2 linked regions of the Diceros bicornis minor genome follow. The protein of the gene in region 1 binds, or shares a complex with, the protein of each later gene. Links are inferred from orthologs where the notes say so. Each region holds a gene or a part of one and is shown in the gene's direction. Other genes may lie near its edges.

What was found. The genes of interacting proteins can lie anywhere in the genome.
Region 2: the proteins of F2 (region 1) and THBD are in contact, whole or in part, in a crystal structure (PDB 1DX5), measured with the Homo sapiens proteins. The link is inferred for Diceros bicornis minor from reciprocal best matches to the Homo sapiens genes F2 and THBD. Residues at the interface, in NP_000497.1 of Homo sapiens: Phe382, Ser385, Pro386, Gln387, Leu423, Arg425, Thr432, Arg433, Tyr434, Arg436, Asn437, Glu439, Lys440, Ile441, Met443, Lys470; in NP_000352.1 of Homo sapiens: Ser424, Cys425, Glu426, Cys427, Tyr431, Ile432, Leu433, Asp434, Asp435, Thr440, Asp441, Ile442, Asp443, Glu446, Asn447, Gly449, Phe450, Asp479.

The regions. Positions count from the first base shown.
Region 1 is NC_080770.1:23,573,501-23,584,107, reverse strand, and holds the start of F2 (prothrombin), read left to right. Parts: upstream 1-6,186; 5' UTR 6,187-6,353; coding exon 6,354-6,432; intron 6,433-6,786; coding exon 6,787-6,950; intron 6,951-7,656; coding exon 7,657-7,681; intron 7,682-7,896; coding exon 7,897-7,947; intron 7,948-9,408; coding exon 9,409-9,514; intron 9,515-9,610; coding exon 9,611-9,747; intron 9,748-10,607. UniProt on the Homo sapiens protein: Thrombin, which cleaves bonds after Arg and Lys, converts fibrinogen to fibrin and activates factors V, VII, VIII, XIII, and, in complex with thrombomodulin, protein C. Functions in blood homeostasis, inflammation and wound healing.
Region 2 is NC_080758.1:49,363,240-49,373,368, reverse strand, and holds THBD (thrombomodulin), read left to right. Parts: upstream 1-6,059; 5' UTR 6,060-6,188; coding exon 6,189-8,087; 3' UTR 8,088-9,895; downstream 9,896-10,129. UniProt on the Homo sapiens protein: Endothelial cell receptor that plays a critical role in regulating several physiological processes including hemostasis, coagulation, fibrinolysis, inflammation, and angiogenesis.

The DNA.
Region 1 (10,607 bases):
GCTGGGGAAGCCTGTCGACACCCCACAACTGTCCTCAGGCCAAAACCTGGGATGCTCACACCACGTTACCACATCCCCCACACAGAAGGACAACTTTCCTCCCCGTTAAGGCTGTCCCTGGTGATGAGAGCAGGGTCAGATCAAAGCCAACAAATTCAAAGGCACCTGGTTTGGGAGCCTCTGCTCTGCCAGCACTCATGACTCAAGTGAGAATGGGCATCAGAAGGGATTGTCCAAGCTCTCGTTACAGATGAGAAAACGGAGGCCTAGAGAAAAGGCACTCGCCAGGGCATGAGACTCGGTTTTGTAACTCGTGTGTCTGTGTGTGTGAGGCGATCAGCCCTGTGCTAACATCTGCCAATCCTCCTCTTTATTTTTTTGCTGAGGAAGACTGGCCTTGGGCTAACATCCGTGCCCATCTTCCTCCACTTTATATGGGATGCCGCCACAGCATGGCTTGCCAAGCAGTGCATTAGTGCGTGCCCGGGATCTGAACCGGCAAACCTCGGGCTGCCGCAGCTGAGCATGCACACCCAACTGCTTGCACCACCGGGCCAGCCCCAGGTCTTGTAACTCTTAATTTCATGCTCTTCCAATTAAAATAAAATGCAATGACTGTTCTTTGAAAGACTGGCCACTGGAATATTTTTTTCATTGAGAAAATATTTTCCCCCTTGTTTGAGAATCTTGTTCATCGTAATGTTGAAAGTCCCCTTATTCCCATCGTTTCCTCCATCCCCTGATCAAGTCACTTTCGACAGTTTGGTGTATTGGGTACTGAATCTGAGTGCTGCTGCTTGCTCTAGGGCGCGGGTGCCATGAAAGCGTTGCCAGACGCCTTTTCACGGATGCAAGTTTAACCTCGCGACGTCGATAGCCGCTGACCCAGACATCAGAGAGCGCGGGCGATAGAGGATCATTTGCCCTGATTTGCAACTTTCATAGTCTGAGAAAATCTTACAATAGAATAAAATTGGAATCACGTGTAGTGACCTTTGAACAAGGCAAAGCGTCATGGACTGTGAAGAGCACATCTCCAGGTTCGGGTGTGGGTCGTGACCCTGCCCTTGACTAGCTGCATGAACTCAGGCAAGTTACTTAGCTTCCTTGTGCCTCAGTTTCCTCATGCATAAAATGGGAATAAATAGATACCTGTCTCATCAGTGCTATGTACCTGGCATGTGAACAATTATTGAATTGGAGCTGGTTGTTAATAGTATTGTAATCCACCCAAGATTAAGGTATGTACGTGTTTCCTATAGGTTTTGCTTGTTTGGGGCAGGCCAGCATCACTTACACAATAGATATGTACTTGGCTGCATGTCCTCTGGGTACACTTGATAGTACAGCGAGGCTGTACTCTACTGGAACGTCAGGGGACAAGGGTCATGGGAGGAGAAGAGCGATGGCCTGAGGGAGGAGTGCGGGTCCTGGTCCTGGCTTTACCACCGATTCTCTGTGGGGCCTTGATCGATTAGCTTCCCCACTCAGATCCCTCCATCTCCTCGCAGTGACATGGGCAAATTGGGCCACATCAGTGGTTCCCGATCTCTGCTCCACCCTGGAGTCCTTTTGCTAACATTATTTCTTCTATGGATCCCATGTTTTAAAAGATTTCTATTGAGTAGAAACAGACTTACTCATATTTTTTTATCAAAATAGAAAACTGCTGATCATGTAGAGAAAAACAAGGTAATTAACCACCTGAAGAGAGATAGTTTTAGTCAAAAGGAAAAACATTAGTTTTGTCTTATGGTAAATTTACAATTTTTGAGGTTTTTTTTAATATGCAAAAAGGTAAGACCACCCTGTAGTACATGCACAGAGCCCCAGGCTTTGAAGTGTCCAGATTTAACAATATTTGATCTTGCTTCCACTTCTGAAATTCTCGCTTAGAAGATAATTTTACTGTTTTCAGTGATTATAGAGCTTCGCTTTACAGCGTAGCATTGGTCTTGCCCACGATTTTGTTTGATGCCAGCTTGTTGGGCAGAAATGCAACCCCTCAATATGGCCTTGTTCTTAGAGGCAAATATGATCTGCTTTAAGTGTGCAGGTACGTGTTTGTGGTGAGAAGCAGGAATGACAGGCTCAGCTGCATGATACTCACTGGGCCCAGAGAGTTCCAAGGAGAACAGTTCTTGGAGGCTGGGGCTCTTCTGGTGGACCCTGAAGACTAGGGGTGTGCTGGGTCCATTGGATTTCTGTACCCGTGGTGGTGCCACCCTGGTCTGGCAGAACTTTTGGATCCTTCCAGAGCCACTCACAAAGGGGATGCTCTCCCTAGATCTCTGCTCTCCCTAGATCATCGTGAAACATTCACTACTTGAAGAGAACTTGTGAATCCCTGTGGACTCTCACAGCCGTCCTAGAAACTGCGTGGGAAAGGACTCGTATGTGCACTCCCATCTCCACGTCTCTCCGAGCACAAGGCTGCATTCCGCAGGTGGGCAGCACTGCTCTCTGCAAAGTAGAGAGGGTGGATGTGGTCTTCTGTTCACCCAAGAACGTGTGAAGGCTGTCTAACTAGAATCCACTTACTGCTAGCCTCCATTTATTAAGGAATTAAGTTTACTTTTCATTGTGAAATTTTTCAAACACAAAAAATTAAAAGGGATAATATAACAATCCCCTAGCCACCTAGATTTAATGATTGTTAGCATTTTGCCGTGCTTGTTTCATGTTTGTTGTAAGTTCTTCAGTATAATCTATAACTCATAAGTTATATAAAACTATAACTTATATAAAAAATATAACCATGTGTCATATAATACTTATCAAATGAACAATAATTCTTTCATTTGAATGAGAACCTAATCTATATTTAAATTTTCTTGCTTGTCCAAAAAGAGTCTTTTTACAATTGATTTCTTCGAAAGTCTAAACCAATCATGGTAATTCTGTTTCCCTGGTGCATTTGGTTGTTAGGTCTCTCTTAGGTTTCTATTATTCTGGACAGTCTTTCCCACCCACCCCTTTTATTCTATGTCATGAATTTGTCAGAGAAACTGGGGTCATTTGTCCTGAAAAATGTTGCTCATTCCTTGTGGTGTCTAACTTATTCCTTTATCATCTGTATTTCCTGCAGACTAGTAATTAAAGTTAGAGGCTGAGAGGCCGGCCCAGTGGCATAGTGGTTAAGTTCGTGCGCTCCACTTCCATGGCCTGGGGTTCACAGGTTCAGATCCCGGGCACGGACCTACACACCGCTCATCAAGCCATGCTGTGGTGACGTCCCACATACAAAATAGAAGAAGATTGGCACAGCTGTTAGTTCAGCGACAGTCTTCCTCAGGCAAAAAGAGGAAGATTGGCAACAGATGTTAGCTCAGGGCCACTCTTCCTCACCAAAATAAATAAAGTTAGAGGTTGATTAGATCCAGATTCATCATTTTAGGAAAAACTCTTTATAGGCAGCATTGTGTGTTGCCTGTTGCAAAATAGCATATAACTGCTGTTTACTGAGTGCTTACTGTGTGGCAGGCATTGTGATACTTGACGAACATTATAGTATGTTCTGAGGGTAGTTTCGTTTTTGTTTCACAACGATAAACTTAACTCTGAATCCAACTAGACCTGAAGGGAGACGAGATATATGAAATACAAGAACTGCAGCAGGAGAGAACACAGAGGTTACAGGGTGTGAGAGCTGGGGGCGCTCTCCTCAGGGGCAAAAGGAGTGGTTGGGTATAAGATAAACACAAGAGCAAGTTCGTCAGAAGGGCCCAGAGTCTTCTGACTGGTCTTGCCATTCCTGGACCCAGCATGCCCCGTGGCTTCCACAATATTCATGCCATCTCTCTCCTTGCCAGAGAGCCAGTGCTTGCCATCCAGCCCGTCAGTCTTAACCGTGTGGATGACAAACTGGGGGCCATTTGGGTTGGCTCCAGCATTTGCCGTGGACAAGATGTCAGGACCATATTCAAAATGAATTTCTCATCAGCAAAGTTCTCCCCCTGGCAGTACTATTGTGGTGTGTAAATTCATCACCTGACACATAAATCCAGGAGTAAGTCTGGGAAAGCAGGAACCCGTATAACCAAATCTCGTCCTCTCTGTGTTCAGAGAACTGAAGTTTTCTGCTTTGGAACATTGTCTGCAAACAGCTTGAGGAAGACATAGCCCAAGACTTGCTCGTTAACAGCCATGTCTGCGCGTGGTGCTTGTCTGTCATGACTGGGGGGTCCTGACAGCGGGGGAACAGGGAGCAGTCAGCAGGCCCCTTGTTCCTCAGTAGAAGAGGTGCCGTGTGTTAGGTGATCTCTCCCCCTGCTGACACCCCCTCTCACCTCTTCTCCCTTTCCAGGTTGAGTCAGCACTGGCCCAACCTGGTCCCCAGGAAAGGGAGGGTCACCTGCCTCGAGGCAGGAAGGATGAAGCCACACCTCTCTTCTCTCCCCTTTTCAGGAGCCCTACCCCCTTCCCTTACTCAAGATGTAACTTTTTAAGAAATTAGTGAGGTGAGATCTTTGTACCATTCCACTTCCTTCCCTCCCCAAAAAAGAGTAGGCTCAGTGTCATTAGTCAACAGGGAATACAAATTAAAACCTCAGTGAGACACACCTGCACATCCATCAGGATGGTTGATGTGAAATGGATGGACGATATAGAGGGCTGGGGGGGACGTGAGCAACCGGGACTCTCCAACATGGCTGGTGGGAGCGTAAACTAGTACAGCCACTTGGGACAACTGTCTCAGCGACTTCAGCAAAACATGCCTGCCTTATGACCCAGCAAATCCTGGGCGTGTAACCCAACAGAAATAAGTGCTCATCTACACCCAGAGACTTGTGCACGAATATTCATAGCAACATTACTCATTATAGCCCAAACTGGAAACTAATCCAAATGCCCATCAACAGGTGGATGGATAAAGAAAATGTGCTCTATTCATGCCGTGAGATACTATGCAGCTTCAAAGGAACATAACATGGATGAATCTCAGGAACATGCTGAGCGAGAGAAGCCAGACACAAACAGGTATATGCCGTAGGTTTCCATTTATATGAAGTTCAGAAGTAGGCAAAACTATCTATAGTTAGCATAGCGGTTATCCTAGGGCCTATTGGGGCTGGAAATGTTCTCTCTCGTGATCTGGTGGTGGTTACATGGGTGTATGCATAAAAATTTGAGTTAAACACTTAGGATTTGTTTTAACATTATTGTATATAAATTAAACCTCAATTTAAAAAATATATATATAGAAAAATAGGAATATGTAATATAAATATAAATATATGTAAGTATAGGAACTGGGCCACCCAGGAATTAAGCTGATTCTTGGTCCCCCGTTCTCTGCCAGCCTTCTCTCTTCCCTGCTCTGCACCAGGCCCCTCCCTGCGATCTCAGACTGTACACGACCGCAGTCCAGATGCCGAACGGCCAGGCCTAAAGGATGGCGAGGCAAGAGCCTGAGCTCCCTGTGTTCCTGTTCTTTGTCCCTCTGTCCTAACTAGACTAGGACTAATATTTACCTTGCGTCCTGTAAACAGGAAGTGGAGGAGGGACGGGAGCAGGGCTGGCCGAGGGCAGTGTAAGACAGCAGCCTCTCTAGGCCCGGCCCAGGGCAGACGGGTGCAGGGAAAGGGGGTCCCTGCCGCGGAGACCCCGGGATTTGGGCTGCCCCTGTTCTGGGGAGGGCAGCAGTCCTGGGATGACCAGAGGCCCAGGAAGCCCTGGACCTGGTTCCTCCTCCCGGGGAACACTACACACAAACACACCTCCACAGCTTCCCAGATGGGAAAGAGGGGAAATGGGACCCTCCGTCAGGGGCTGAGAGGCTGGGGTAAATGTTGGCCGTCCCTGCCCCCAGTGTGTCATGGGGCAAGGTGGGCAGCTCTAATCTGGCGATGCCCTTGTCTCTATTCTCTTCTATCTATGTGTTATGATTACACGAACCTCCCGGTTGGTTTATATCCGTGTATCTTCTGATTATTAAGCCCTCACTGTGTTTCATGGGCTTACATTCCTAATCTCCTCTAGTCCTCATAGCAAAGTACTATTCCCACTGTACCGATGAGGAAACTGAGGCACACAGAGATTAAAGCAACCATCATCATGTGTTGGAATTGGAAGGGGCCTCAGGAACTGGTCCAAGTTGACCCATGTCTTAGGGAAGGAGGGGCAGGACGATAGTAGTTACACTGATTTTCCTTTGTGACTTCCTCCCAGACCATCCATCCCTGGTCGCAGGAGGACCTGTACCCCCAGATGGTGGGGGTGGACTATCTATCCACTTGTCCCCACGGCCCTGACCTGCTGACCTCTGCCTCTAGGCTGATTTCTTCATGTTAGTTCAACATTAACCCAGAGGGGTCAGGACGAACTCTCAGAGTCCCAGCAGCCCACACACTATGGCGCACGTCCGAGGCCTGTGGCTACCTGGCTGCCTGGCTGTGGCTGCCCTGTTTAGCCTTGTGCACAGCCAGCATGGTAAGGGGGCTCGGAATCCCGCACAGACTGACAGACCAGGATTCCACCCGTGGAGAACACAGGGCCGGCCCCTAGATGGGTCAGCCCAAGGTATCTAGCTTAGGGAAGGAGCCGGGTGCTCAGGGCCGGACAGACAGTGACTGCTTCTCTCTTACAATTGGGGAGTGGGCTGGGGGTGACCAGTGAATGGAGGGGAGCTAGTGGGCTACCCTTAGCAGCTTCCTGAGTCCTGCTGCCATCCTAGACATCCCCTTTCAGAAGCCAGCAGGGCAGGCCAGGCTTGCTTCCTGCCCCCACGGTGGCCAAGATGGCCTGACCCCCTGAGGCCGCTGTCCCACACCCCTCCTACTGCAGTGTTCCTGGCCCCTCAGCAAGCACTGTCGCTGCTCCAGCGGGTCCGACGCGCCAACAGTGGCTTCCTGGAGGAGGTGCGCAAGGGCAACCTGGAGCGGGAGTGCATAGAGGAGCAGTGCAGCCGCGAGGAGGCCTCAGAGGCCCTGGAGTCCTCCAGCGCCACGGTGAGGCTGGGCTGCTCGGAGGGAGGCCGGGGCTCCCCCGATGTGGGCCCACCTCTAGGGCCACAGATGAGAGGAGCCAACATCACAGCTCCTAAACTGTTGACAACTTGATTTCGTCTCTGAGCCCCATTTCACTGGGCTGCCAAGATGAGCAACCTCAGCCTTTCTTGGGGGGGACCCAGTGCCTGGGCTGTGTCAAGGTCCCAGGGACCAATGAGGCTCCAGGACGTCACGGGGCCTCCTTAGTCTTCAGACATCTGTCTACACTGGGGTCCCTGGGGCCCCTGGCCCACTTGGCCTCTCGGCCTCAGCTTTTCCGATACTCCTGTGCCGCCTGTGGGAGGTGGGCGTGTGGTAGGCTGGGAGCCCTGGGCCAAGGCCTTAGCGTTCCACGGACCCTGTGCAGCCTTTCCCTTCCGCGGGGCTCTGCCTGGGCCCCACACTCCCCTCTCCGCCAGTCTTCCGCACCCAGGGGAATCCCTGTCCGTTTTGGTTGAGGGAGCCCCCCCCCCTTCAAATACTCTTCTGAACGAGCTGGGTTTTTGGAGCAAAAGTAGGAAACTGTGCCACAAACGTCCCCAGAGCCTGCCCCTTGCGTGACCGGGGTAAGGAAAAGAGGGAAGAATAAGGAGGAGACATAAAGTTTACTAAACAACAAAACCAAACGGGATCCTGCCACAGCCTCATGCCAGCCCTTGTTTTTCAGGATGCGTTCTGGACCAAGTACACAGGTGAGCCCTGGGAAGGGTGTGCTCCAGGAATCCTGGGGACCCCAGTTAGAGAATCTTCTGGTCTGTCCTATCACTCACCTATCCACCCAATCTCTTTTCCTCCTTCCTTCCATCCATCTATCCTACTCTGTTTCTGAATGTCGTCCCACCCTCCTTTTACTCAAGCCCATCCTGTCCCTACCACAATCCCAAAGGTGTTTCTGGGTCTTTTCCAGCTTGTGAGTCGGTGAGGATACCTCGAGAAGATCTCGTTGAGTGTCTGGAAGGTGAGGAACTGGCATGAGGGTGGGGGCCAGGATATGAGAGGGGCAGTCTGGGAGAAGAGCAGAGTAGGGGTCGGTTAGGGGCTGTGGCCCAGCAGCGGTGGCCCCTAGCATCTGACTTTGCCTTGCTGTTCCTGCCGTCGAGGTTGTGTCTTTGCCCCTGGCTCTGTACCTGCTGGTCACTAAGATGATTAATGTTGAAGGAAGAAGTAAATGGATAATGAATTAACATTAAGGCCTCATTCTCATGAGCTCCTGCCCACGCCAGTTAGTCTTCCCCATGCCCCCAGGGCAGAGCTCCCATGACATCACTTTCGTTCTCCAAAACCTTGAGTGGCTCCCCATTGCCCCCAGAATAAAGCACAGGCTGCTTAGGCTGGTGAACTTGGCAGCCTAACCTTAACCTCCCCTTCTAGCCTTCCCTCCTGTTGCACCAACCATGAACACAGAGCCTGAGCTACTCTGATAGCCAACATTTCTCTAAACATGCCAAGATGTTTCTACTGCCTGGCCCTTGCTTAATTTGTCATCATCCCCTTGAGCAACCATCACCACTTACTGAAAACCTCCCTGTCCTGCATGGACTAGTTCAAATGCCACCACCTTGCTGAGCCTTCAGGGAGCCCCCTCCCTCCTCCACAGCGTCCTGAACACACCTTTAGTATGACAACAGGCCCCACTACAGGCAACTCGTTGATCACTGGCCATACTTTCACTTGTTAAATAACTTATTCAATAGACATTTCACTAAGTCCCTGCTATGTGCCAGGCACTGTGTCAAGTTCTGGGGGTTTAAGAGAATCAAGGAGCTCACAATCTCATAGGAAAACAAAATGACAAAACATCAAAGTGATGGCTGGCAAAGTTCTGTTCCAGGGGCCAAGAGAGTGCCAGGAGGAGGGGCGTTTAGTTTGCTGGCAGGATCAGGGACAGCTGCCCAGAAGAAGTAGAGTTTTACCTGGATTTGTAGAATGTGCTGATGAATAAACAGGAGAGCATTCCAGGCAAAGGAAACAGCATGTGCAAAGGGCCTGGAGGAGGAGGAGGCATGAGGAGCTAAGATAACAGGACAGATAGACCAGGGACGGATTAGAAGGAGCTTGTTCATTTTATCATCCTGCTCGCCATGAGGAGCCACCGAATATAAGCTCCATGAGGGCAGGGACCTATGACTGTCTTATTGACTGTGACTGTCTTATTCATTGTTGTGTCCTTAGTACCTGGCACAGTGTCTATCACATGGTGGACACTCAGTGAACATTTAGTGACTACTGTCAAATGGACTGGGGAACTGCTGGGTGCAGAGGAGGTGCCGAGTAAGTGCAGGTTAAGGGTCATGGACCAGAGGGAGCTTGGAGGGGGTGCACAGACAGAGCTTTGCTAGGAGAGAGGGACAAATCCTAGGGGGAGTTGCTAGTGGGGGAAAATTCTCAGGGTAAGAGATCTGGGCCGGGATCTCTGCAGGTAACTGTGCTGAAGGTCTGGGTGTGAACTACCGAGGGAACGTGAGCTTCACCCGGTCAGGCATTGAGTGCCAGCTGTGGAGGAGTCGCTACCCACATAAGCCTGAGTGAGTGATGGCAGACCTATCTGCTAGTGGGCTGAGAATGGGGGCAAGGAGACACTGAGGGGCCAGGGTCTCCTGCTGAGCAATTTCCTATTCCAGAATCAACTCCACCACACACCCTGAGGCCGAACTGCAGGAGAATTTCTGCCGCAACCCAGATGGCAGCACCACGGGGCCCTGGTGCTACACCACAGACCCCACCGTGCGGAGGGAAGAGTGCAGCGTCCCTGTGTGTGGTGAGCTGGGGCGACTAGGCAGTCTGTGGCCAAGGCCCAGCCAGGGGTCTTCATGGGGCCTGGCAGCCTGGGACGGAAACCAAGATCCTGGCTCCCTTCAAGAGGGGGTTATTCAGGGGCCGGCCTGGTGGTGCAAGCGGTTAGGTGTGCACGCTCCGCTGCAGCGGTCCAGGGTTCACAGGTTCGGATCCCGGGCGCGCACAGACACACTGCTTCGCAAGCCATGCTGTGGCGGCGTCCCATATAAAGTGGAGGAAGATGGGCATGGATGTTAGCCCAGGGCCAGTCTTCCTCAGCAAAAAAAGAGGAGGATTGGCAGATGTTAGCACAGGGCTGATCTCCTCACAAAAAAAAAAAAAAAAAAAAGAAAAGAGGAGGTTATTCATCTCTAACATATTTGGGCCTGTTGCTCAGTAAAGTCAAGAGACCAGAGAGAGTTGGCTTCCAGCCTCCTCCTTTCCCTCCCCAGTCTTTGCTTCCTTGTGATCCAGGCTGTGGCTCATTCCAACATGCTCCTGCTTCAGACACTCTTCCCTAACCATTTCAGTCCACACGCCCTTTTCTGGGCACCACAGAGCAAGCCTCATACAGACCAGCCCTGAATGATTCTGTCATTGTTATTTCCCGTGATGTATCAGTTAGCTATAGCCACAATGATGCTGCAAAACCCACAAAATCACAAACAACTGCAGAAGCTCAGGGGCATACGCCAATAAGCATTTATTTCTTATGTGTCTGAGGGTTGGCTGGGGCAGCTCTGATCTCGGCTGCACTTGCTCATGTGTCTGTGGGCTCCACTGACGTGGGCTGAGGCTCTGCTTCAAACGATGAGTCCAGCTGAGCTTGGCTTCCTGTGCGGG
Region 2 (10,129 bases), on another chromosome or scaffold:
TATTTTCTTTTACAAACAATGGGTCAATAAAGGATTGTCAATTTTTACCTCGCTTCTTGCAGAAAGCCTGGGTAAGAGCCAAACTTTAGTAAACTGTTTGCCGTGCTATACTGACAGGCTGTTGTTTATGAACAGCGTTTGCTCGACAGGCACTTCTTTTCCATCCTTGGAGTCAAATACTGCTGCATAGCCACAGAGACTTAATTTTTATGTCTGAATTTTAGTATTGTTATAGCTTATGAATATAATATTTTTATCTTTTTAATTTCTTTCTAATATCTAAATTATTGTAATTAACATCAAGGTTAAAAATTATATTGATGTATTTATTAGTCAAGTATTAATAATGGCTATATAATTTTAACACTCCTCTTAATATTCCCTTATAGATTCTGGTTGCAGTTTTGACAACCATTATCTTGAAAACAACAATTGGCATAAAAGAGTATTTTTTGAATCCAAGAAAGTGACACTCACATGCTCCCACCAATCATCTCCTTGAGGTGACATGATCTGGCTCTATGTGTGGACCCGGCCGGTTCAACAGGAGTTTCTGGGATGGTGGAATGCTGTCTCCCTGTGCTGTCCAATTTGGTAGTCACTAGTCTACTGAGCACTTGGCATGTGGCTAGTGAGACTGAAGAACTGAATTTTTAACTTTAATTTTAACGAATTTAAATTTAAGTGACCACAGGTGATTGGTGGCTACGGTACTGGACAGTGTAGGTAGCTTTCATCTCCCTCACCCCCAAGTGGTAGTGACAGCAGTTTCCATCCAGGGGGCCTGGAACTGTTACCACCAGCAACAATTGGTAGTCAGTCACATATCTCAACAATCCCCATGTCCTTAGTGCCTAGGATTGTGCATTTTGACAGGCGGGTTTTCCCTTCCTCCATGGGAGAGGCTTATGTTCTGAGCCCGCATATGTTTCAGTGCAGGGTCTAGCTGCCCATGTGCTTGGGAGAGAAATAGTGCAAAATGGTGGTCTGCATCAGGGGACTGAGGAGTTAACAAGCCCAAGGGCAGGTGTTTGTGTTGAAACTAGAAAGTTATTTTTATGTCTTGTAAGAAGAAAACTGCCTCCCACACTTGCTAAAGCTCTTTGGCTAAGGTATGTGGGGTCAGCACGTTGTCCCTGGCCCTTTTGTATCTGGACTCCTCTTCAGCTCTGTTTTCACAGCAGCCACACACGTTTGCCTTCAGTACAAATGGCAGGAGTTTGTTCCCTGTCAGAGAGTTGGTCCAAGCTGCCCCGCAGACATCAAACAGAAACTCCCATCGAAAGAGCCAGACTTCCCAGATGGACGCCAGTGACCCTGGGAGCCCTGCACAGAGCTTCTCACCAGGAGTAACCACTGTATTTGTTCACCAGCTGCTACATTCCAAGAAAGCTAATAGTCACTGTGTGTATATTTTCTAACTTCACAACTTTGTAAATTAGATATTATATCTCCAGTTTTGGGGGGAGAAAACCAGAGATTTAAGAAACTTAAAATCGGGGGTGTTAAAGGGCAAACTCGGGGTCAGATTGACTCCACTTTGGTTCTTTCATCCTAAAGCAGGCTGGTGAGCCTTGGTTTCAGGGCAGCTGTGCGGCCCTGGGAAGTCACTTCTCCTCTCTGACCTTCAGCTTTCTCCTCTGGAAAATGAGGAATTAACATGGGCTGCCTTCGGGGCAGACTGGGAGTGAGTCTGAGCCTTCACCTAAGCCTCCCGGCGCACAGGGACCCAGGGCACGCTTCTCCTGCTGCCTTCAGTTCCTTCCCTACTCCTCCTGGATCCCTAAACTTCCTTTTGTCCTTCTTTTTTTTGTTTTTTCCCCAAAATTGCTTATTGCTCTTATTGGTAAAAATGCTCAGCTGAACTGAATTTCACCCAACAGACATTTAGCAAGTCTTTACTCTGGACAAGGAACCATGCCGGGTGTCGAATACTATCAATCAGTGACTGAATTCAAATTTTAGGGGCCAGAGTGTATCCTTTTTTAGTTAAAATTTGTTGAGAGTTTACTATGGCTCAACGGTACTAGATGCTTTCCATGTACAACTCATTTAATTCACATCACACACTTTGAAGGGGAGTCTGTTATGATTCTCATCACACAGTTGGAGCACAGAGAGGCCGGGTATTTGCCAGATACGACATGACTTATAAACGATGGGGCTGGGGCTCAGTCCAGCCCAGTTGGCTCCAAAGCCCACACCCCCAACCCTGAGGCCCTGAGGTCCCCATCCTTGTCTTTGCAGGTTGACATGAGAAAGTCACACAGGAGGGGGCACAAAGAAACTCCACAGCAGGTGCTCAAGCGACTCCTGAGCAGTCTATGCACGAAAACTGCTGGCAGGCGTCTGGGGTGCACAGATGTATAAGAACATGCTCACCCCAGGAAACTAGATTGTAAGAGTAGCAAAGAGCACGATGTGGACGTGATTACTTACAAGGCTGGGAAGGCGCAGTTAGCGCTAAAGTGCTGATAGAAAGGCCTACGAACTTCACAGGGATCAGCTCTGGTTTGTAACTTGCTGATGAGGCAGCGTGTCACCTGTGCCTTAAAAGAAGGGTCAGATTTCAAATAGATGAAGAAGAAGTAAAGACTAGAATGTTCCTGGCAGAAGAAAAAACATGAGCCACGGAATGAAGGTGAGATGGGGTGAGGCATTCCTCTCACGGGCAGCAGGAACCCCTCTTGCTGGTACTGGCAGCATCCGTGGGGACCAGTGGGACAACAGCCTTTGAAGGGGGAGGGTTCTGGGTCTGAACCCCAGTGGAGACCCTTGAGTGCAAATTTCCTATTTTGTGGCCACAGAGTAGAGGCACAATGAGCAATCATCTTCAGTGTGGCTGGGCCTAGTGGGGAGGGAGAGGAAAGGAGCATGGGCTTCCCTCGGCAGGTGGTGGGTGCCCTGAAGGGGTGCAAGGATTCAGGCAGTGTCAGCAGGGGCGAAGAGTGAGAGAGAGAAGACCAAGGAACAGAGCTGACGGAGCAGGAGCAATGACGATCGGAAGGATGAGGCAGGGAAACTGACGAAGTCTGAGGCAGAAGTGATGACGGCGTAAGTCTGAGGGGTGTAAATATTGATATGGGGAAAGAATGGGTTGAGGGTCCCTTCTGGGGACCTCCCTCCACCAGTCTCCTTTGACATGGATATCATTGCAAGGGCAATGGGTGAGTCTGGCAAAGGGTGGGATGTTAAGAGATAGGGGTGGAGAGAAGAGAAGACGGCAGACAGAACCTGAGGACTTGCCAGGCTTGCAGGGCAGGAGGGTCAGAGGGGCCGCCCTCAGGCAGGTAGAGAAGGAGGGGCAGGGGCACAGGTGTCTGGGAAGTCCTGGGAGGAAGAGGCTTGAGAACAGTGAGGGCTCAGGAGTGCAAACAGCACAGAGACATCTAGAAGCATGAAGACTGAAAACAAGTTATTGGCCACAGTATTTAGGAGATGATGGGTACTCTTCAAGGGGGCTGTTCCAGTAAAACAGGCTGGCTGGTGAGCCTCTGGTGGGTGGCAGGGCAGGGGTGGGGAGAAGAGGGAAGTGGGGGGGTTCATCCACATAGAGACAGAGGGAGGGGCCTATCCGCCTGTGCAGGAGGTGCAGAGGAAGACGAGGGTAGCTTAAAATGTGCAAAAAAGCCTCAAAGTGATGGCTGGAGAGGAGAAAGCAGGCAGAGGGCAGGCCCTAGAAGGCAGAGGTAAAGTGTGCTGAGGGCCAGGGGCAAGGCCTGCAGGATGGAAAATGTCCATCCACTCTTCTGCGGGGTAACCCGAGACTGCTGGTCCCACCCCAGTCAGTGCTCTGCTCCCTTTAGTTGTTGCTCTAGTGTCTTTCTACATGGAAACAGCCGGCACCTCCTCAGACAGGTTGGCCCAAGTCTCACCGGCACCATCTGGTTCTCACCTGGACGCAGCTACTGGGGCAGCCTCCAACTTCCTGTCTTTTTCTTTTCAAGAATCAGTAACTGGGCTCAAGGTGACCTGAATAGGACGTCCCACCAAAACTCACCCAAGAAGTGACTCAGCCTGGTGTGGGGCCAGGCTTGACACTTGGGTGTCCCTCAACCTCTTTGAGGGCTGGCAGGGTCAGGAGGGCCCCCCCTTTGTTTCATGCTTTACTGTCAGTCTTGAAATTCTCGGAAAGTTTTGAACAAGGGGTGGTGAGGATTGTGTAGCTGGTCCTGTTGCCTCACCTGTCTCATGCACCCAGGCAATTTCTCCCACTTTCTGAGCTCTTTCAGCAGTGTTCCAGCCCATATCTGGACACTCTGCCCCCAGGGCTGGCGCCACCAGAGGCAGCCCTGCCCTGAGCTCCAGCCCTGCGTGGGCGGGCTGTTCACAGAAGTCATGATCCTTGACTCAGGCCAGGCAGCCAGGGGGACGTTAGGCTAGCGCCTGCCCTGCTCGCACCCGGGACAGCCGGACTCTCCAATCTGCTGGTGGTTCCTTCCTTTGCCCAGAGGGGCAGTCGCGTCTATTCCTGGGAGCTTTGGACCTCAGTCTCCACGCCGCGTTCCTGCTGCTTCCGTGCCACGAGCTGGGACAGCGTTCTCAGGACAGAGCAGCGCTCAGCGGGCCCGGCTCTCCGCCGGGCGTCAGGGAGCATAGGGAGAGACCATTGCACATCTCCCGCTTCACTTTCCCAGTGTCTAGGCCCCACGCGTTTGGTCACTGTCAGTCAGTACAGTCCCGCCGACAGGTGCTTGTCTTTCGCTTGTGAGGACGCCACACTCACCTGTTCTCTTACAAAATCTGGGCTCTCCTGGACCAGGAAAGCAGGACACCCCGGTGAGCCGCGGGATCTGCGCAAGGCTTCCCGGGAGCCGAGTTTCCTGCCCCAGGACGAGGCCTCTGCGTTCCCCACGTTCTTAACCCTTTTCCGCCCTAGTCTGGAGATCTCGGACTTCTTTGGCTTTGTTTAGAGTTCAACAGCGCCGCCTCCTGGTGCTTCGTTGTGAGTGACCATAGCGGAGAAACGGCATAGGATGTCAAAAAAGAAAAAAAAAAGTTTGCCACTCTCGGTTATGCTTTGGACCCACCCCTCGCATTCTTGGTAAATGAATAAGCGGATAAGGTCGAAAAGTGACAGATTCCCACCTCCTCCTCCCAGTTCTCCCCACCCTGCCCGTCCACAGGACCGCCCCTCTTCAGTAGCCTTTGCCGCCCAAGTGGCATTTATGTGCACCTCTGTATCAATCCGATTTCTCAGCCAAATAGAAAAATCCTTAACAGATCCGAGTGGCATCCACTTGGCGTCCGCAGCGCCTCCCCGCGCGCCCCGTTGGGGGTGCCAGATGGATTGCGTCTCTGTGAAGCTGAAGGAAAACAGACCAAACAGGCTAACACGCACCCCAGCACGCCCGCCCCTACAGGCGAGGCTGCTACTGCCTCTGAAGGGTGACAAGACCTTGGAGCTCTGACAGTATCCCCACGACTTTCCCACGCGACCAGATGAGGTCGGGCTTTGGGAGCTGGCGTTCAGGGACTTGTGGGTCCCTAGCTGTGCAGGAGGGCCCGGCGGGGGGGGTCCATATCAAGCCAGTGCAACCCCTTCGCCCGTCGTCGCCCCAGCCACACCCTCTGTCTTCTGGGGCCGAGGGCACCCCCACTGGCCTGGATGGGGTCCAGCTCTCTCCCCTTGAGATAGCGTCTTTGGGGAAGTCCTCGCCCGAGGCAGCCCCTTCCAAAGTCCTCTTCCTGGTGGGCACCTCCTCCCCGAGCCCTGCGGGTCCTGGGCACTACCTCCCCCGCCCCTCTTCAAAGCCCTCCTCGCCCTGGTCTCTTCTTCCTAGTCTTCTGCAATCCAGGCTTCCTTGAAATCGGTGGTAACAACACATTGATGAAGAAAAAGCAAGAGGACAGGGAAATTAGGAAGGGCTGCGGATTAAGCCTCTTTTCAGGCTGCGCGCGTGGGGGCCCGAGTGGCGGGGCGGGGACTGTCGCCTTGCCGACAGAGGTGCTGTCTTCCCGCCGCGCTTGCGCCTGGCGGCCCCGCCCGGGGACATACCAGCGCCCGGGCTGGGTTTACTCATCCCCCCGAGGTGATCCCAGGCGCGAGGGCGGGCGCAAGGCGTCCGGAGAACCCAGTAATCCGAGAATGCAGCATCAGCCCTTCCCACCAGGCACTTCCTTCCTTTTCCCGAACGTCCAGGGAGGGAGGGCCGCGCACTTATAAACTCGGGCCCCGGCCCGCTGGCATGTCAGAGGCTGCCTTGCCGGGGTTGCGCGCCGCGTCCGGACGCGTCCGTGCTGGGACAGACAGGAGGGGTTGTCGCCGGCTGCGCCCTGCACCTCTCGGCCCCGGCCGGGCTCCGGCCTCGTCGCGGCGCCTGCGCTCTCCCCGGGGCCTGCACGCGGCGCGCCTGGACAGCATGCTCCGGGTCCTGCTTCTCGGCGTGCTGGCCCCCGCTGGCCTGGGGCTCCCGGCGCCCACGGAACCGCAGCCCCACGGCAGCCAGTGCGTCGAGCACGACTGCTTCGCGCTCTTCCGGGGCCCCGTGCCCTTCCTCGCCGCCAGCCAGGCCTGCGAGCGCCTGCGGGGCCACCTGATGACCGTGCGCTCCTCGGTGGCGGCTGATGTCATCTCTCTGCTACTGAGTGGCGACGGCGGCGACAGCCAGCGCTTCTGGATCGGCCTGCAGCTCCCGCCCGGCTGCAGCGACCCGGGGCACTTCGGCCCCTTGCGCGGCTTCCAGTGGGTTACGGGCGATAACCGCACCAGCTACAGCAGGTGGGCGCGGCTCCACCGCGACGGGGCACCTCTCTGCGGTCCGCTGTGCGTCACAGTCTCGGCGGCCGGGGCCGCTGCACCCGGCGAGCCGGCCTGGGAGGAGCAGCAGTGCTCCGCGGAGGCCGATGGCTTCCTCTGCGAGTTTCACTTCGCAGCCTCCTGCAGGCCCCTGGCTGTGGAGTCCGCGGCGGCCGCCAGTGTCTCGATCACCTACAGCACCCCGTTCGGGGCCCGCGGCGCGGACTTCCAGGCGCTGCCGGTGGGTAGCTCCGCCGCTGTAGGGCCCTTCGGAGTGGAGCTGGAGTGCGCGGCGCCGCCCGGAGAGGCCGAGGCGCGCTGGAGCCAGGAGGCGCCCGGCGCCTGGGACTGCAGCGTGGAACAGGGCGGCTGCCAGCACAAGTGCAACGGGAGCGCCGGGGCGTCGCGCTGCCTCTGCCCGGCCGACGCCGCCCTGCAGGCCGACGGGCGCTCCTGCGCCGCGCCTGGGGAGCACTCGTGCGACCAACTCTGCGAACACTTCTGCTACCGCACCCCGGACGTGCCCGGCGCCTACTCGTGCATGTGCGAGACGGGCTACCAGCTGGCTGCCGACCAGCACCATTGCGAGGACGTGGACGACTGTACGCTGGTGCCCAGTCCGTGCCCGCAGCGCTGTGTCAACACTCAGGGCGGCTTCCAGTGCCACTGCTACCCCGGCTACGACCTGGTGGACGGCGAGTGCGTGGAGCCCGTGGACCCATGCTTCGGGACTCAGTGCGAGTACCAGTGCCAGCCCGTGGGTCAAAATGGCTACCGCTGCGTCTGCGCCGAGGGCTTCGCGCCCACCCCCAACGACCCGCACAGGTGCCAGATGTTCTGCAACCAGACTGCATGCCCAGCTGACTGCGACCCCAACAACCCAACTACATGCCAGTGCCCGGAGGGCTACATCCTGGACGAGGGCTTCATGTGCACAGACATCGACGAATGCAACAATGGCTACTGCCCCGACGCGTGCCTCAACCTCCCTGGCAGCTACCAGTGCATCTGCGGGCCCGACTCACCCCTCGCCGGCCAGGCTGCCACTGACTGTGACCCCAAGGTGACCAACGGCGGCGACGAAGACGGCGGCTCTGGGGAGCTCCCGGTCAGCCCGACCCCCGGCGCCACCTCGAGCCCCTCGCCTGTAAGACCCATGCATTCGGTCGTGCTTATTGGCATCTCCATCGCAAGTCTGTCTCTGGTGGTGGCGCTTTTGGCGCTCCTCTGCCACCTGCGCAAGAAGCAAGGGGCCCTGCGGGCCGAGCTGGAGTACAAGTGTGGGGCCCCAGCCAAGGAGGTGGTGCTGCAGCACGTGGGAACGGAGCGGACGCCTCAGAAACTCTGAGGGGCCTCCCTCCCCGGCCCCAGGTGTGGGCTGGGCCTTTGCCACCCTTCTGTGCCCGCCCCCCGCCCCCAGCCTTACTCCCTGGCTACCCCAAAGCACCTTAGCTGGCATCAGAACTGGAGAAGACCGTCCCCACCTTCTTCTCTGATTCCACGCATGGCTGGGGAGGGGGAATTGGAAGGACTATGCGCCCCAGCCATTTCCATGACGTCATCGGACAACTGGGCGAGATGGCCGTTTTATGATGAAGACACAGACTCCAGTGTCCCGTGCCCTCACCAAGGATGGGTGAGCGTTATGGTTGGCAGCCTTTGGGGCAGACTGTGATCTCGTGGACTAGTGAGTGTAATGAAGTCATCAATAATGACCAAGATATTTATTTTTTGAGTATTTAGAATCTTGTTCTTTTGCTTTTTCCCTACTTGTGTGTATCCCTCCCCACTCCTCCCACCCCCTTCTCCTTCCCTATCTCTATATTTATATACTCCCACTTGTCGTGTGGCAGTTATACTATCTTGGTGAATTTTTTTCCCAGTCCTCTTGCATTTATGAAGCCCAGCCCTGTATTCCCCCCTCATTCCTCCCAATTTTCCCTCCTCAGGAACTCAGCCAACCCACCTGAGTCACCGCCCTGTGTCAGACCCCTCTGCTCTTAGTGTCTGCCTAGGCGGACTCCCCTGTGAAACAGAGACAAAACATCTCAAGACAAGAGCGGTTGGGGATTTGCTTTTGCACCAGATTTGCTAATTTTTCTTGAAATTTCAGGCTTCCAGAGCAATATCATTTTAACAGAGGTTAAGATGTGAGGGGCATTCGTTAAACTAATGTGGCTGAACTGTCATAGAATTTCAACCCCAAGGAGTTTTTTATTTTTTAGACAGTGAGGCTGGGTTATATTGTTGTTGTTTTGATTTGGACTGAAAAGTAGTAACTATTGTTAAGCTTCTTATGCAGTTTCTTTTTATATTATTATTATTATTAGTTATTTTGGACAATGTTGAAGACGTTCACTCGATTGCTCTAGATTGAGAGAAGACAGAAGCACGTCCCAGGAGACGGTTGAAAACAGTTTTGAGCTGCATGATCCAGGCCAATTCCCATTTTGACTCTTACTGTTGTTGTGATTTGTAGCCCAGCTCTACTCCTTTGTGGGATTTGGGAGCTTGAGGATGGAGCCTGAAGGATGCTCAGTTAGGGCCCCACCTTGATCAGGCCCTGGAGAATTTCTCCCACTTCAGAGAGGCCTTCTAACCCTGTCCACTTGGAGCAGGGGCCCGGGACAAGAAGCAGAGGCTGCCCCCGCGCCGGGGCGGCTGGTTAGAAATGCAGGAGCTCCAGCTCCACCCACCTGCTGCATGAGAATCTGGATTGTAACAAGGTCTGCAGGGGGTGTCTGCCCAGTACAGCCTGAGGAGAACTGTGCCAGATAGCTTCCAACTTTCTGGAACAAATTAAATATGGATCAGTAATAAGTAGTAGGCCAAACCAGGTCCTTTATTCTCAAGAAACTGAGGAATTTTCACGTTATAGCTTTGCTTTCTGGTAGAAAGACTAGGTACACAACTTTAGACATTGCTGCACAGGGTAGAGAAGTTCTTTGGTTCAACTGAGCTAGGGATGAAATCATGCTTTAGTGTGTGGAAAAAAATGTATCATATAATGTATCTTTTGTGATGCAAAGGTTTTCTTCTACTATTTTGTAAACTCAGCACATTTGTACATAGTTATTTATTTATTGCAGATAAACTAGGACACGGGCAAAACCCTTGCTTATGACATCACATGTAGAAAATAAACAAATAACAGAGTGTTCTTGGGTTGTGTCTGTTCACCTCCCCTCCCCCACCCCTCATTTTGCATCATTGAACCAGGCGCACCAACAATGCAAATGCCCTGAGATGCATTTAAAGGCTGCTCCACACCCCTTCACTGGCTCCATCTGCCGATGGCACCATCTCTGACTTTCAAAGATCTTTCCAGAGGACATTGTTTTCACTGTAGAAGGACTTCACGTTATGCCTGTGTGCACAAATATTTATTTT